Elephas maximus indicus: one gene and its partner. The protein of the gene in region 1 purifies or fractionates together with the protein of each later gene. This does not show direct contact. Links are inferred from orthologs where the notes say so. Each region holds a gene or a part of one and is shown on either strand. Other genes may lie near its edges. The genes, in order: TEPSIN and AP4M1.

Evidence for each region.
Region 2: the proteins of TEPSIN (region 1) and AP4M1 purify together in Homo sapiens (co-immunoprecipitation; 3 studies listed by BioGRID and IntAct, with this or other methods). This does not show direct contact. The link is inferred for Elephas maximus indicus from reciprocal best matches to the Homo sapiens genes TEPSIN and AP4M1.

The regions. Positions count from the first base shown.
Region 1 is NC_064837.1:71,129,065-71,137,184, forward strand, and holds the start of TEPSIN (AP-4 complex accessory subunit tepsin), read right to left. Parts: upstream 3,084-8,120; intron 3,029-3,083; exon of another isoform or gene 1,842-3,028; 5' UTR 1,246-1,841; coding exon 1,074-1,245; intron 840-1,073; coding exon 748-839; intron 662-747; coding exon 568-661; intron 376-567; coding exon 308-375; intron 42-307; coding exon 1-41. Other genes in the region: NDUFAF8 (NADH dehydrogenase [ubiquinone] 1 alpha subcomplex assembly factor 8), read left to right, coding at 3,496-3,579, 3,787-3,897, 4,365-4,391. UniProt on the Homo sapiens protein: Associates with the adapter-like complex 4 (AP-4) and may therefore play a role in vesicular trafficking of proteins at the trans-Golgi network.
Region 2 is NC_064830.1:91,608,203-91,616,091, forward strand, and holds the start of AP4M1 (AP-4 complex subunit mu-1), read left to right. Parts: upstream 1-4,825; 5' UTR 4,826-4,975; coding exon 4,976-5,033; intron 5,034-5,135; coding exon 5,136-5,224; intron 5,225-5,561; coding exon 5,562-5,668; intron 5,669-5,747; coding exon 5,748-5,844; intron 5,845-5,996; coding exon 5,997-6,107; intron 6,108-6,197; coding exon 6,198-6,278; intron 6,279-6,503; coding exon 6,504-6,566; intron 6,567-6,667; coding exon 6,668-6,734; intron 6,735-6,831; coding exon 6,832-6,885; intron 6,886-7,236; coding exon 7,237-7,343; intron 7,344-7,444; coding exon 7,445-7,539; intron 7,540-7,840; coding exon 7,841-7,885; intron 7,886-7,889. Other genes in the region: DNA replication licensing factor MCM7, read right to left, coding at 1-74, 382-465, 693-824, 910-1,024, 1,227-1,376, 1,694-1,831, 2,129-2,309, 2,383-2,507 and 3 more. UniProt on the Homo sapiens protein: Component of the adaptor protein complex 4 (AP-4). Adaptor protein complexes are vesicle coat components involved both in vesicle formation and cargo selection. They control the vesicular transport of proteins in different trafficking pathways.

The DNA of each region.
Region 1 (8,120 bases):
AGCGGTGACACCGCATCTGAGAACAGGGCGCTGTCCAAGTCCTAAACAGGAGCCGGAGATTATTTAGGCACGCCGCACCACACCCCTGCCCCCCTGTCCCCCCACCCCTCCACGCCACCCTCCCCCACTCTCCACAGTCCTAGAACCACCTGCACCTCCTCTGCACTGTACAGGCTGCCAACGGGGCTCTGGGGCGGGGGCAGGGGTTCCAGGCCAAGCAGAGCCCAGGGTACCCAGGTCGGGGGGAGGGAGAATGAAGCTACTGTGCAGTGTGGAGGGGAACAATGGCCCGGAGGAGGCGACTCACCTGGGCGGCCAGCCGGACCTTCTGGTACAAGCTGTTCCCGTGAAGAGGGTCGGGGGGCCCAGTGAAGACTGCAGACAGAGGAGAGGCGGTGCTCAGTCTGGCACCAGGTGCCCTGGGCACCAGGCGGGCACACTCTGGAAGCCCACCCCGGGGGGAAGCAGAGCGCGTCACCCCATCACAGCTCCACCCCCCAGTCTGGGCTGCAAGGCTGCTGCGCTTAGAGGGGGTGCTCTCAGCCCAGACGACACGCCCGCCCGCACCGGTGGCCTCCTGGATGAAGGCAGAGTTGCGCTTCAGGATGCCCAGGAAGGACGAGGAGCCATGGCTGCACAGGTAGAGCAAGATCTTCAGTACCTGGGGTTGGAAGAGCTATGTGGGCAGGCAGCCGGCAGCAGCCGCCTCCACCCTGGGCAGTTCACCCGCCTCCCCTCCCCTCCCACCTTGAGCTTCACGTGGCCCGAGCTGCTCTGCAAGCGCCTCAGGAGGTACTCCAGGAGGCACTGGCTGCTCCCCAGGGACTCGTGGGAGATGTCTGGGTGTGGGGTTAGGGAAGGAAGGCAGGCTATCCCGTCACTTCGGCCTGCTCAGCACATGCTCCCCCAAGGGCCCGTGTCATCGGAACACCACGTTCGGACCTGCCCGCACCTGACTATGGGTGCAAGCACCCGCGGAGCCCACCTCGGGGTAGCAGAAGAACCCCAGTAATCTCTGGGCCACTCAGGGCCCTGATGCCCACTCCCCCAACCCAGACACCCAGGAAGGATACTAGCAATCTCTTCAAACAAGTAGCCAGGACATGGGACGTCATCATCCGACGTGCCTTTCAGGAGGACTGGAAGCTGGAAAGAGCAAGAGGCCCTGCGTGAGGAGCCACCCACGTGGGTGAGCCCACAGCCACTGCAGGTGACGAAGCTCCGGAAACTCCTGAGACGTGCCATCCCAGTGCTTGGTGCTTTAGGGGCGCCAGCTTCCAGCTATCTCACTGTTGGCACACCCATCAGGGAAAGGATCCGGGGCAGTGGCTCTCCAAGCAGGTCGAAACAGGCACCGCAAATGGCCCCCACCCACAGCCGGGCAGCACAATTCAAAGTGCCTTTAATGCGCTGTCTACGGCCAAGCAGGAGAAACAAGCCTGGCGGCAAGCCCTTCCCACAAAAATACAGCACGCGGCTCAGTCTTTACAGAGCTTGAAGTGGCAACATTACAGAACTGCCTGGGCTGACGGACCCAATCACTCCACCTCCGCCACGGACCTCACAGAACTACCCTGCACCCAGCTTACCTTGTGTGTTTACGTTTGCCCGTCAGCACAAGCGGATGTTCATTTACGGCACACACTTATCTATCAGCACCAGAACTAGTTGCCACTGAGTTGACTCTCCATTCGTGGTAAACCCACGTATCGGAATAGAAGTGTACTCCACAGTGTCTACAATGGCTGTGACCTTTCAGAACCAGGTCGCCAAGCCTTTCTTCCGAGGTCTTTCAGCACCCACTCAAAGGCCACTGCTGTAGTCGATTCTGACCCATGACCCTGTAGAATATAGTAGAACTACCCCATAGAGTTTCCAAGGCTGTAACCTTTATGGAAAAAGATTACCACATCTTTCGTGAGGATTGACTGGTGGGTTAGAACCCCAGCCTTTCGATTAGCAGCTGAGTGCTTTAACCAGTGTGCCACACACACACACTGTGGCTATTAGCAAGAAATGCACTATTTACAGGGATAGAACATCAACCTCTCATTAGCCAACGTGTCGTTCACCTGATCCTAAACACAGGAGAGTTTGGGATTGTTTAAAGCAGTGAGTACGTAGACCCCGTGGGTGCTAAGCACGTGACACGGTACAAACGGGCGCCGCTAGTATCGTGTCAGCGCACGATAACGTGTCTGGGTGATGCTAAGTGGACAAGGCAGGATGGGCCAATGCAAACACGGCTCACGTGCCAACCAGACCTGGAGAGAGCCTAGGGGGTCTGTATATGTGGGTTCAATGCCCGCCACGTTTTTTTCTCCTTAAAGCTGTTTTAATTTGGGAAAGAAAGTAGACTTTCGCAGCCTAGAGCTCCCACTTTCCCGGCTGAGGTCCTTCAGAAAGAGATGGCTTCAACCCCAGAGCTGACACCAGAGTCGGAGTGATGCGCCTATCGGAGTGATGTGCCTGCGTTGTACACGGGGGTGTCCCAGCCTTCAGGAGAGACTCAGACCTCAGCAGGAGGCAGAACACGGGGGGCAGGAGAGGAGCTGGGAAGGGGACCGAGGCTGGGGGACCGGGAGGCTGGACACCAGGGAGGAGAGGAGGCGACAGACGGGACCGAGGCCGGAGGACCGGGAGGCTGGCCACCGGGGCAGAGGGAGACCACAGAGAGGACCGAGGCTGGGGGACCGGCAAACTGGCCACCCAGGCAGGGAGGAAGCGACAGAGAGGACCGAGGCCGGGAGACCGGGAAGCTGGATACCAGGGCGGAGGGAGGCGACAGAGGGGACCGAGGCCAGGGGACCGGGACGCTGGACCCCAGGGCAGGGAGGAGGTGACAGAGGGGACCGAGGGTGGGAGGCTGGCTGGCGGGATGGGGACTGAGGCCGGGGCCGAGGCCAGCGAGGGCCTGAGGAGGGGCTGTGCGGTGCGCGGCGGCTCCAGGCCCTGCGAGCACCGGGAGGGCGGGCCGGGCCCAGAAGCGGCGGCATGCGGTGACCCCGAGGCGGGCGGCCCGCGCGGGGAGAAAGCAGAGCAGGGGGAGGACCTGACAGACCTGACAGACTGCGGACACTCACCCGGTGCAGGAAGCTCAGGCGGTCCCGCAGCGGCGGCGCTGCCGCCATAATGCTGGCCACCTCCTGGCCACGCTGCTTCCGCCAGGCCCAGACCCGTCCAATCACCGCGCGGGGCTGGCCCAGTTGGCCAACCGCTCGCGGTGGGGCGGGCACTGGGCTGGCTTCGGTAAACAATTTGAGCATAAACCAATCCAAAGTCCCAGAGCAAGAACAGACAAGGACACAAGCCAATTGCAAGACTCTGAGAGACCAGCCGCGGCTCTGGAGGCGGTTGTGGAGGGCGAAGGTCGAAGTCTACCAATTAGAGAGCTCGGTGTAGGTCAGGGCGGAAGTGCGCTTCTCTGAGGCCGCTGGCGCCGGAAGAGGACGGACCCAAAATGGCGGCTCCCGCGGGGGCCCGGATCGGTCGTTCATGTCAGCGAAGGGAGCGGTGTGGAGTCGCGTGCGAGGCCGCCTCCGCGCTTTCCCCGAGCGCCTGGCGGCCTGCGGGACCGAGGTGAGGACTAGGCAGTGTCTTCGGAGCAGGAAGGGCCGCGCGGGGAGAAGAGCGGAGGGCGATGGGGCTACTCCCGGGCAGGAAGGGCCGCGCGCAGCGGAGGGCGGTGGGCGAAGCCGAGACCCGGAGGGACCCTGGGAGCGGAGGGCGGTGGGACGAGTCTGGCGCCGAGAGGACCGCCGCGACCCGCGCCCGACTCCTCTGCAGGCCGCGGCGTATGGCAGGTGCGTGCAGGCCTCCACTGCCCCGGGCAGCCGCCTGAGGAAGGACCTCTGCGCACAGGAGTTCGAGGCCTTGCGGAGGTGCTTCACCGCCGCGGTAGGTGGGCGCCGGGAGGCCCGAGAGGTCAGGAGGGAACCCGAACCGGTGGTCTGCCTGCTGCCCACCTGCCCGCCTCCCCAGGGCTTTCCACCCGGGGTTGTAGCCCTCCCTCTCATTCCTTCAGTGCTCGAGCGCCTGCTGCTGCTTTAGACGTCGGGACACCATAACAGTCAGCCAAAAAGTCCACAAAACTCTTTTGTTTTCGTGGAGTTTACGTGTTTATTAGAAGACGATGACATTAACCTGAGAAACCATCGGAAAATTAGCAGAGATGATGAGGGCGGTGGGGGGTCACCTTACCAACACCCTGGTGTTTTGGGGTTCACACAGCTGAGCCTCCTGCCACAGCCTCGTTTCTTAAGTCCAGTTTGGTCAAGGAAGACCTTTGTGGTGGGAGTTTTCTTGCTTTGGAGCCATATCTAACCTGAAAACTACCTGTGCTGACAAAGTACCTTCTTTTTCAGGCCAAGACCGTGAAGGGAGGCTGCTAGGAGGGACCAGCCCACCCAAGCTGCACAGAGCCAGGCCCAACCTTGCCAACAGCACGTGGCAGCATTTAACACTGAGGCTGAAACCTAGGCATGGAGACTTCGGCTCTCAAATGGGCCTGCGTCTCTGCAGGGAGAGCTGCAGAAAGAGGGGGAGTGGGTTTCCCAGCAAGAATGTACAACAGGGTGTGGGACAGAATAAAACATACTTGAACTAAAAGACAACCGGTACAGATTCTGTTTGACTGTGCAGGGGGCAGGGCAGGGAACAAGGATGTACCAGGAATAAAATTAGAAGTGCCACCTTAAGGGTTAAAGTAATAATTGTGAGGATGGTGCAGGACTGGGCAGTGTTTCCTTCCATTGTACGTGGGGTGGTTAATCAAAACAAACTCCACGGCACCGAACAGCAGCAAACCATGAGGGGAAAAAAAATCCATGCAGTAGAGAATCCTACAGCTGACTTTCCTGGTCCCAGGAAAAGGTGGGGTCACACTTCCAGACTAACAATGGGCTATAAGGGGGACCCCTTACCCCTCCTTTTGCTACCTCCTCTTGGTATCAGGAGCCCAAGTTCATCACTGACATCTCTCTTGCCCAGTCCAGCTCCCCATCCTCTCGTTCCATGAGCTAAAAGGGAGATCAGAAGTGCAGAACCCGCCCCGGCCGTACATTTAAATAGTCTAAAGCCCACAGGCCATCGGGGTCCCAAAAATCCTGGGCACGCTGGGAACTGCTTTGAGTGGGCATCCCCTCTCATGCAGCAGCCTACTCCAGATGCCAGAGCATGGCTCACTAGGCCCAGTGAGCAGGAGTAGCCCTGCAACCCAGCGAGCCCAGGCCTGTTTTCAGGCCCTCACCTGGCCCATTTCTAAATTCTATTCCATAATCAGTCCCCTCTCCCCAGGTGTGGAGACCCTCTCGTCCTTGATCCACCTGAGGCTTTGTTCCAGGCGCCTGACGCCCTTGGATCTACCCCACCAGTAGTGGCACGTTTCAGAAAGCACTGGGTGCTCCCAGGACTCTGCCTGTCTCTCTGCGGACAGGTGAGAAACAAGCCAGCATGTGCCAGGCAGGCAGCGCTGTTCCAGCCTCCTGGGAGAGGAGGGGATGGTGGTACCTCCCAACAGAAAAGGGTCCAGAAAACTAGGTTAGCAGGAAAATCAAGGCAGAAATAAAATCCCACCCCAGGTAATATCCTCCTAGACAGCTGGGGGCTGTCTAGGGGGATATTACTGGGCACTGGTTCCTCCAGGGTCACTTCTAATGAAGGGCCGGAGGCACCCTGTGCTGGTGGAACGTGTCCCTGGACTCATGAACACCCAGAACCTGTGTGACCACACGGGACACGGGTCTCTGGGTGAGGCCAACCTGGGGTCGGGGGAGCGTCTTTCAGGTTGTTGTTGTTAGGTGCCGTTGAGTCAGTTCCAACTCATAGGCGACACTATGCACAACAGAACGAAACACCGCCGGGTCCTGCGCCATCCTTTCAATCGTTGTTATGCCTAAGCCCATTGTTGTAGCCACTGTGGCAATCCACCTCGTTGAGGATCTTCCTCTTTTCCGCTGACCCTGTACTCTGCCAAGCATGATGTCCCTCTCCAGGGACTGATCCCTCCTGACAACAAGTCCAAAGTATCTAAGACGCAGTCTCGCCATCCTTGCCTCTAAGGAGCATTCTGGCTGTACTTCTTCTAAGACAGATTTGTTTGTTCTTCCAGCGGTCCATGGTATATTCTATATTCTTCGCCAACACAATTCAAAGGCATCAATTCTTCGGTTTTCCTTATTCATTGCCCAGCTTTCACATGCATATAATGCGATTGAAAATACCATGGCTTGGGTCAGGCGCACCTTAGTCTTCAAGGTGACATCTTTGCTCTTCAACACTTTAAAGAGATCCTTTGTAGCAGATTTACCCAATACGATGCGTCTTGATTTCTTGACTGCCGCTTCTATGGCTGTGGATTGGGGATTCAAGTAAAATGAAATACTGACAACTTCAATCTTTTCTCCGTTTATCATGATGTTGCTCATTGGTCCAATTGTGAGGATTTTTGTTTTCTTTGTTGAGGTGCAATCCATACTGAAGGCTGTGGTCTTTGATCTTCATTAGTAAGTGCTTCAAGTCCTCTTCACTTTCAGCAAGCAAGGTTGCGTCACCTACATAACGCAGGTTGTTAATGAGTCTTCCTCCAACCCTGATGCCCCGTTCTTCATATAGTCCAGCTTCTCGTATTATTTGCTCAGCATACAGATTGAATAGGTATGGTGAAAGATTACAACCCTGACACACACCTTTCCTGAATTCAAAACATTCAGTATCCCCTTGTTCTGTCCGAAAAACTGCCTCTTGATCTATGTAAAGGTTCCTCATGAGCACAATTAAGCGTTCTGGAATTCCCATTCTTCGCAATGTTATCCATAATTTGTTATGATCCACACAGTTGAATGCCTTTGCATAGTCAATAAAACACGGGTAAACATCCTTCTGGTATTCTCTGCTTTCAGCCAGGATCCATCTGACATCAGCAATGATATCCCTGGTTCCACGTCCTCTTCTGAAACCGGCCTGAATTTCTGGCAGTTCCCTGTCAATATACTGCTACAGCCGTTTTTGAATGATCTTCAGCAAGATTTTGCTTAAGTGTGATATTAATGATATTGTTCTATAATTTCCACATTCGGTTGGTTCATCTTTTTTGGGAATAAGCATAAATATGTATCTCTTCCAGTCAGTTGGCCAGGAAACTGTCTTCCATATTTCTTGGCATAGACGGATGAGCACCTCCAGTGCTGCATCTGTTTGTTGAAACATTTCAATTGATATTCCATCAATTCCTGGAGCCTTGTTTTTGGCCAATGCCTTCAGAGCAGCTTGGACTTCTTCCTTCAGTACCATTGGTTCCTGATCATATGCATCTCTTGAAATGGTTGAACATCGATTAATTCTTTTTGGTATAATGACTCTGTGTATTCCTTCCATCTTCTTTTGATGCTTCTTGCGTCGTTTAATATTTTCCCCATAGAATCCTTAATTATTGCAACTCAAGGCTTGAATTTTTTCTTCAGTTCTTTCAGCCTAAGAAATGCCAAGCGTGTTCTTCCCTTTTGGTTTTCCATCTCCAGCTTTCAGACAGAAATGACAATTATTTCAGAAGGTGCAGGTGAAGAGCTGTGTGGTGAGGTTTCTGAGGAACGTCTCAAAGGCTAGTCCTCCTCACAGCTGGGCATCCTACATGTAGTCAGCACACAGCCCCCACGCCAGCCCAGCACATAAGGTTTGGGGTGTCTCCACCAGGATAAGGGCAGGCACCCGTGCAGACACACCACCGCCTGGGGCCTCAGTGGACCTCTGCCACCGATGCGTCTCCCAGACGGCGTGTGTGACCACCAGCTTTTCTGAACCCTTAAAAAGCACCACCCTGCACCTAGGGAGGCTGTGTTTATGGTGAGGTGCTGCACCCTCCTCCCAAGACAATGGACCACCGAAGAGAAAGGAAGCACCATCTCCAGTGGGGATGCCCTGGACTTGCTGCCCCTTCCTGTAGCGTGCCTACCCAACAGTGATATTGGGCGGGGAGATTTCCTGTGTTATCACCTTTATTAATGGTGTTCTCTCACCATTGCCCATCATGCTTTATGTTGGTGGGATCCTGAGCCTTTTTTCTAGGTAATTCACCTCAATACCAGCTTTACTATTTTCAGCTATCAGTGGTTTTTCTATTAGTT
Region 2 (7,889 bases), on another chromosome or scaffold:
TCCAGTGACAGAGTCTCTCAGCACAGCTGCTGTAAGCCCTACTCCAGAGGAGCCCCGACCTGTTGTGTACTGGCCTGAATGGCAGGGTCAGGAAGAGGAAACAAGCAGGCATGTTTAGCCAAAGGGAAAAGCAAGGAAGGGAATAAAGAACAGGGCAAAGGACCTAAAAGGTCTGCACTGGAACTGCTCTATCTGCCCAACGCACAACTACCCGAGGCAGCTGGAGACCTTTGGGAGTTCCCGCACTGGCAACATCTCCTCTCCCCTGCCACTAAACCTCCTCAGGACCTGCTATTCCCACCCACTCCTGCCTCCCAATCCCCCAAGGAATGAACAGAAATGTGGTTCTATGTGTGCCTCTCCCTGGGTCAGATTACTCACTGCGGGGTGCCAGGCGATCAATATAAGACAGGAGCTGAGACTTGGCCACACCAGGATCCCCCATCAGGCAGATGTTGATGTTGCCTGGAGGGATGGAAGGAAGACCCCAAGTGACTATTTTCCCAAAGCAAGTTGTCCAACAACAGAAATACACTTTTGAAGTCTACCATACCCCCATGCCCAATATAATTTCTTCCAAGCCCTCCCTGTGCCCATGAACCAAGATGCCAATTCCCTTATTCTGCGGCCTCTCATTCTTTTTCTCCCAAATGGCTTCATTCACCTCAAACCTCTCTCCCACTCATTTTTACCTCTGATCTTCATGCCTCGAGGGGACTGGTCTACACCTCCCACCAGCAGGAGCAAAAGTGCCTTCTTCACATCTTCATGTCCATATATCTCTGGGGCAATGGAAGCTGCCAACTTTTCATAGAAGTCCTCTTCTATAAGAGAGTTAAAATTACTCACCAGAGAAAAAAAAGGAGCTCAGGAAAAAACCCAAATTCTAATTTTCCCCCTGCCCCTCACCTGCAATCTGCCTCAGCTCCTCCCTGCTTAGCTCTCCAGCCCCGGCCTCATCATCCTCACTCTTATTCATCTTCACAACCCGATGGGCTTCCAGGTAAGTCTCTGAGAGTAAGCCCTATGGCAAGAAAATGCTGGGTATGGATGAAACCCCTTTACCTGTCCCACTCACCTGATCCCCTAATGATTTCCAACAAAGCCCTTTATATATTTTGTTTGGTATTTTGCTGTTAGTAATTTTCCTCGGGGCTAGAGGTGAAGACAATGAGTGAGAGGAAGAGAAAAAGAAATATTTCCTCATTTGAAACACCCTTTCTTACCTGTACCACCTGTCGGAACCCAGTACGCAGGATTGGCAGAAATATACCAGTGACACTGATGTGGTCTCCAGGCTGGGCAATCCTTGTGTTCTCTCCTTCAACCAACACTGTGATGCTTCGGGGGATATTTCCCACAGGAACTTGGTCACTCTAAGGGAGAGAAGAGCATATAAAAAGAAAAGAATGTAAGCCCACGGGATCAAACCTCACCTCCCTAGACATCCCATTCTTCTGCTTCTCAGCCTAGCCAGCTCCAGACAAGCCCCTAGGAGGAGCAAAAGAGACCCCCTTTACCTTTTCCTCACTCAATCAGAAAGTTTCAGCTGAGGTTAAATTTCTTTTCTGCTCTAGGTGACTTCTCTTGCCTCAGCTCTTTCTGCTTTCATTCTTTCTCCCACTCCGCAAGTAACCCCAGGGTTTGAGCAGACTCCCTTTTCACCCACCCAGGGCACATACACCAAACTCACATGCTCCTGCATCTTCATCTCTTGGAATTTGATGAATTTGGAGCCACGTGTCTGCAGATACAGCCGCCCTCCGGAGCGGTTGGTTTGGCACTCTTGGCTTGGGCACATGATCAGAGGCATGAAAGTTGGAGACTGAATCTAGGGTGTGAGAAAAGAAACAATAAAAACAATCAAACATAAAAACCCCTTTACCGTCAGTCACCTGACTCATCATGGAACTGTCTAGAACATTTTTAACCCTTCTGGATCAACAGCGACAGATACCAATATAACCAAACAAATGGCAAAACCACTACATATCCCAATAAGAATGGAAACTAAGCACACAAGTGTGTCGTAATAAATAAAAAATAACAAACATCAGTGAACAAATATAGTTCTTACAAAAACCATTAACAGAGTTAACCGCCTTCGTGTTCCACGCTCCATGCTTACCGGCTGGTAGGTCTCTGCCCCGCACTGATCACAAGTGTAGGTGGCCACCACCATCCTGGGTTTGACTTCAGAGACACGAGTAACGATCCCACGCACAGTTACCAACTTCCCCACCGAGTCAGCCCGTACTTCCCGGATCACACGAGGCTTGCTGCTGCTTGGGCCCTGGAAGTACAACTCACTAAAAGGAGAAAATGGTTATTAGCAGGGTTCTACTAAACAAATTGCCACATTCTTCCCCAGAGGCCACTCACAATCTGCGCATGAGTTCAGGAGGATACTGGTTCTGGGGGCTGCGGGCAGCTGCAGGGTCCCGGCCCCGCTGTTCCATCATCAGCCGATGCTCAATGTAAACATCCAAGACATCTTTATTTACCACCTACAGTAGGACCGACAAAAACAAGGAAAATGAGCAGCAGGACAGAGAAGGAAGGCAGCATAAAGGGCCCCAAACAGAAGTCACCGCCATCACTTTCCTGCCAGTTCAAAAACACCTGAGAAGCTTCTCAGCAAAGACCTAAGTCTACTGGCCTGCCTTTTCCTCCAACCACTCACCTCCCTCTCCTTGTACTGAGGCAGCAGCTCTTGTACGGCATCAGCAAAAAGCCTCGCATAACGCTTAGCGTTCTCACAAATCGAGTCCACCAACTCAGGGTCATCCTCCGCTATATCATCCAGGTCCACATACAGTGCCACTTGTTCCCGATGAGCCAGCTGAACCTGGGGTGGGGAAGAGACAGCAACACTTCAGAGCCAAGTTCACCTTGTTCACCAATGTTCACACATGAAAAGCCATCACTGTGAGCTCAGCAGTCTCGGGGCATGTACAGGGAGAAAGAACAATGTGAGACAGCAATACTCACTCCTCTGCCCCCAAAGACAACCTCCCACCTCCTAAGACATTTTAGTATTATTTTATTATTATTAGTATTATTACGAGTGTACTTTTACACTCATCGTGCATTAGGTGCCATGCTAAACGTGTCATTTACAGACAGATTTACTTGCTGAAACAAGCCAGGCCACCTTTTAGAGCCCCTTAAGCAACTACCCCATTCCCTCCATCTAATCTTAAAACTTACCAACTGGTTCCCATACTTAAACAGCTTCTTGCCAGATTCCTCGTCGTGGTAAAACTCTTGTAGGAACTTCTTAGCCTTTTCTACAAAATAAATGTAAAATCGTGAGAAAAACCCCTTCTTTCAGATACCTAACTAAAAATCCCTTTGATGGAAATCTAAGAAACCCGCTTTCATTTAAAACAATCTGTGCGCTAATTAGGCAAGTACCTAAATAACTACAAAACTCCCCAAACCGGGCAAAACTCCTTTTCACAAGTCTGTTTTTAACCAAAAAAGACTAAGTGGTCCTGGCAGCTAAGAGTATTACCCGACACCCTCCTCGCAGGGAAATTCCAGTCTCTGCCGTAATTAAAACTCCCAGTACCTTTCCCCAGTGGCCTCCCACACTCGCAACACAGGCCTGTCGGTGCTCAGCTTTTCTTCCACCCATATGATCTCCTTTCTTCTCTCGGTCTCATAAATTGCTGTTCTCCTCGGGATCTCTTGCCACTAGGCCCGTCTCCCAGCCCACTCCCTCTCCCCGCCACTGCTTCCGCTCTTAGTAAACAAAGAAGCACATGGGCCCCGAATCCAGCCGCCTCACAGCCCGGGATTCCTCCGCCCGAGGCGGGAGCCCGTCGGCGATTGGCCAGCACGCCAAGGGCCACGCCGTTCCACACTACTGCCTCTTCTCTCTGCCTCCCGCGAAATTCCCCAATTCCAGGCACGCCCCACCCCAGGTCGCTCCCTCCGAGGCTACCGCGCGGAAGAACACTGTTTACACACGACGCTCCCTCCAGCCAGTCGCGCAACTTCCGCCCTGTCTTCATTTCCGCTGCGAGGTTGGCCCACGACAGCCAATCCGGGCGCGCAGCGGCTCTGGCCTTCCCGCCCCTGGGGCTTCGGCGCGCCTCCCGTAGGACGCGGGAATTCGAGAGTGCCCAAAGCGGGGCGGGAAGCGAACCGGGGGTCCCCATCCCTAAGGCCGAAAAGCCCCTCAAACAGGGTCACCTGAGGTCTCGGTCTCGTCTGGGCGTGACCTTCCCTGTGGAGCCTCCAGCCGGGCTCTCCGCCCCTTACCCCCACCAGGACCCCGAGCTTTCCTGGACAGGGTTATCTGTCTTCCTTCGACCCCGGTGCTCCTGTGCGCCTCCCAGACCGTCTGCCTCAGCCTCGCCGTCTCCCGACCGTACCCCTGGCCTCACACGCCCCAGAGCCCGCCGACCCCGGCCCTCCACGTTCCCAGCCTACATCACCAGCTGTTGGCCTGGAGGCTTCCCGTGCAGAACGCCCCTCCCGGGCTTGCAGACCCTTACCTTTCTCGAGCGCGTAGTCCTTAAGTGCCATCCCTGCCAAGGGGCGCGCGGCAGCAGTTGGCGGGCCGAGGAGACTCGCGCCGCGAATAGCAAAGAACGTCCGCGCGGCTGACTGCGCTCGAGCAACTGAAATTGGCGCGAAACGTAGCCCCCCACGTGAGCGGCGCCACTCCGTGCGGGCCAATTGGAAAGGAAGGCCTGTCGCCCTTCCCACTCGCGGCAGGCCCCAGCCGCCCCCCGCTTGGGCCAATCACCGGCCTAGCCTGGGCAGAGTGGCACGGAGGAGGCGGGGGGGTCGGGTGGAGAAGTCCGGGCGAGGCGGGGCGGGCGCCCGGTTTCCCGCGGTCCCAGCCGGCGGGGGCGGAGGAGAGTCGCTCTTAAAGGCCCAGCCCACGCGCGTCCTTTTGTTCCAGAGCCGCAGGGCGGGGCAGGCCGAGGTCTCGCAGTCTTGTCTCCTCTCCAGAACGACCATGATTTCCCAGTTCTTCATTCTGTCCTCGAAGGGGGACCCGCTCATCTACAAAGACTGTATCCTTGACATGCGGGGCGGGGGTGGAGCGACTTGGTGGGAGTGGTGCCCCAGAGACAGGGTGTATCGCCAGCTTCTTAACTGTCCTTCCACCCGGTCAGTCCGCGGGGACAGTGGTGGCCGGGATGTGGCCGAGCTCTTCTACCGGAAGCTGACGGGACTGCCCGGAGACGAGTCCCCGGTTGTCATGGTAACCACCCCGCAATGGGGGGGGTAGGAGATGGCGGGGACAGGTGGGCGCCTCCTAGTCCCCGGGGCTGTTCCCTGAGAGCCTCCATTTGGTGAGAACATTCTCCCAAATAATATTAATCAAAGTTCATTAGGTGCTAACAATATACCACGCACAGTTCCTTGTCCCTCAATTCTCAGAACTCTGGGGTAGGCACTCTTTATTAACCCCGTTTGCATCTTAGGATGCTGGGACTTAGGATGGTTTCAAGTTCACCTGAAATTGCACTGCTATTAAGGAAGCTAGGATGTGAACTTAGGTCTTAACCACTAGCTCTTTTCCTGCCTCTGCCTCTCAGCACCACGATGGCCGTCATTTTATTCATATCAGACACAGCGGCCTCTATTTGGTGGCCACGACTTCAGAAAACATTTCTCCCTTCAGCCTCCTAGAGCTGCTCTCCCGGTGAGGAGGGCTGGGCTGGGCATCTGGGAGTGGGGATCTGAGAGAAGGAGAATATACACACCTCTTTCTTTTGCCTCAGGTTAGCCACCCTCCTGGGTGATTACTGTGGCTCCCTGAGCGAGGGGACCATCTCCCGCAATGTAGCTCTTGTCTATGAACTACTGGATGAAGTGTTGGTAAGCTCAAGGATATCCCTCATTTGTCCCTGTTCCCCTGACATATCCACTCCTCTACGTGGGATCCTATTGTTGGGAAGCTAAGTACTCCTGCTCCTTTTCACCCCTTCTCCCTACTGACCACCCAGCGATCCTCCTTCCATCACCAATAGGACTATGGCTACGTACAGACCACATCCATGGAGATGCTGAGGAACTTCATCCAGACGGAAGCTGTGGTCAGCAAGCCCTTCAGCCTCTTTGACCTCAGCAGTGTTGGCTTGGTCAGTGGAGGGGGTATAAAAAATGAGGAAAGAGAAGGAGGGTTGGCTAGGAGTAACCGAGAAGGATTGATTGCTTTGGGTGTTTTACAGTTCGGGGCTGAGACACAACAGAGCAAAGTGGCCCCCAGCAGCGCAGCCAGCCGCCCCATCCTCTCCAGTCACTCTGACCAGGTGAGGAAAGAATTGACAGTGGCAGACTCTCCCAGTTTTTTTCTGGACTCCAGAGTCAAAGATCCAGGTGTTTCTTTCCACTACCCCTAGAGCTGAGTATTCCTTCCCTCACCCCCATGTCCCCACCCCAGGGCCCTAGCCTCAACTATGCGATCCTTTCAGCCTACCCGTTTTAGAATACAGGCCATTCGGCCTCCAACCACCCAAATCCCCTCTCTTCCTCAGAATCAAAAGAATGAAGTTTTTTTGGATGTGGTCGAGAGATTGTCTGTACTGATAGCATCTAATGTAAGTTTGGATCCCTAGCCCTGGAGCTGAGGACAGATGGTATATGGGAAACACGCTGGGGTGGACAAAATTCTGGGTATTAACTTCCCTGTCACTCTCAGGGCTCACTATTGAAGGTGGATGTGCAGGGAGAGATCCGACTCAAGAGCTTTCTGCCCAGCGGCTCTGGTGAGAAGGCCACAGGCTGGCCCCAGGGTTGGGTAGGGACAGGCTCCTTGGTGGTACGTATGGCGTTGTTAAGTTTTCTGACGTTTTTTTCTAACAGAGATGCGCATTGGTTTGACAGAGGAATTTTGTGTGGGGAAGTCAGAACTGAGAGGTAAGGAGAAAGCCTTTCTCTCACAGGTATTTAAAAAAATTTTTTTTTGTTGCCGTTGGGTCGATTCAGACTCATAGTGAACCTATAGGACGGAGTAGAACTGTCCCATGGGGTTTCCGAGGAGCGGCTGGTGGATTCGAACTGCTGACCTTTTAGTTAGCAGCCGAGCTCTTAACCACCGTGCCACCAGGGCTCCCTCCTAGGTGTAGGCATTGCCAAGATTTCATAGAGAAAACTGGATCATCTTAGAATAGGGGAAGGGCATTTAAGTGTATTAAAGACATCCTCCCCCTCTCCCTGCTCTTCCTTCTCAAAGTATGTCTTAAGAGAGGGGTCTTTCTCTCTTTGCAGGTTATGGGCCAGGAATTCGGGTTGATGAGGTCTCATTTCACAGCTCTGTGCATCTGGACGAGTTTGAGTCTCATCGAATCCTCCGCTTGCAGCCACCTCAAGGAGAGGTCAGGATAGGGGTGGCCCAGTATAGTCTGTCTACTGTCGGAAAAGGAGGCAGTTCAGGTGTGAGGAGACTGAACCAACCTCTGCTTCTCTCTGGTTTCAGCTGACTGTAATGCGGTACCAACTCTCAGATGACCTCCCCTCCCCTCTCCCTTTCCGGCTCTTTCCCTCTGTGCAGTGGGACCGAGGTTCAGGCAGGTGAGATCATTCCCTGTTGTAGAACTTCTCTGGAACCCAAGCCGATACATATGTGTTCCCAGGACTTACTGTGGAGGAGTGGCAGTGGTAGTGATAATAGATTGAGAATTAGAAAAAGGCACACTTTCCTCCATGTGGACTCAGCCCCATGAGAGGCTTGGCTGCTGGAGTTGGGCTGGATTTCAGCACCTTCTCTCTCCCTGGGGCACAATTACACAGCCATGCATGGAGGTCTGGGTGGGGAATGGTGAGATGCCAGTAGGACATGTTCTCGGTAAAGGTGTTTTACCCTTTCATCCAGGCTCCAGGTTTATCTGAAGTTACGATGTGATCTACCTCCAAAGAGGTAA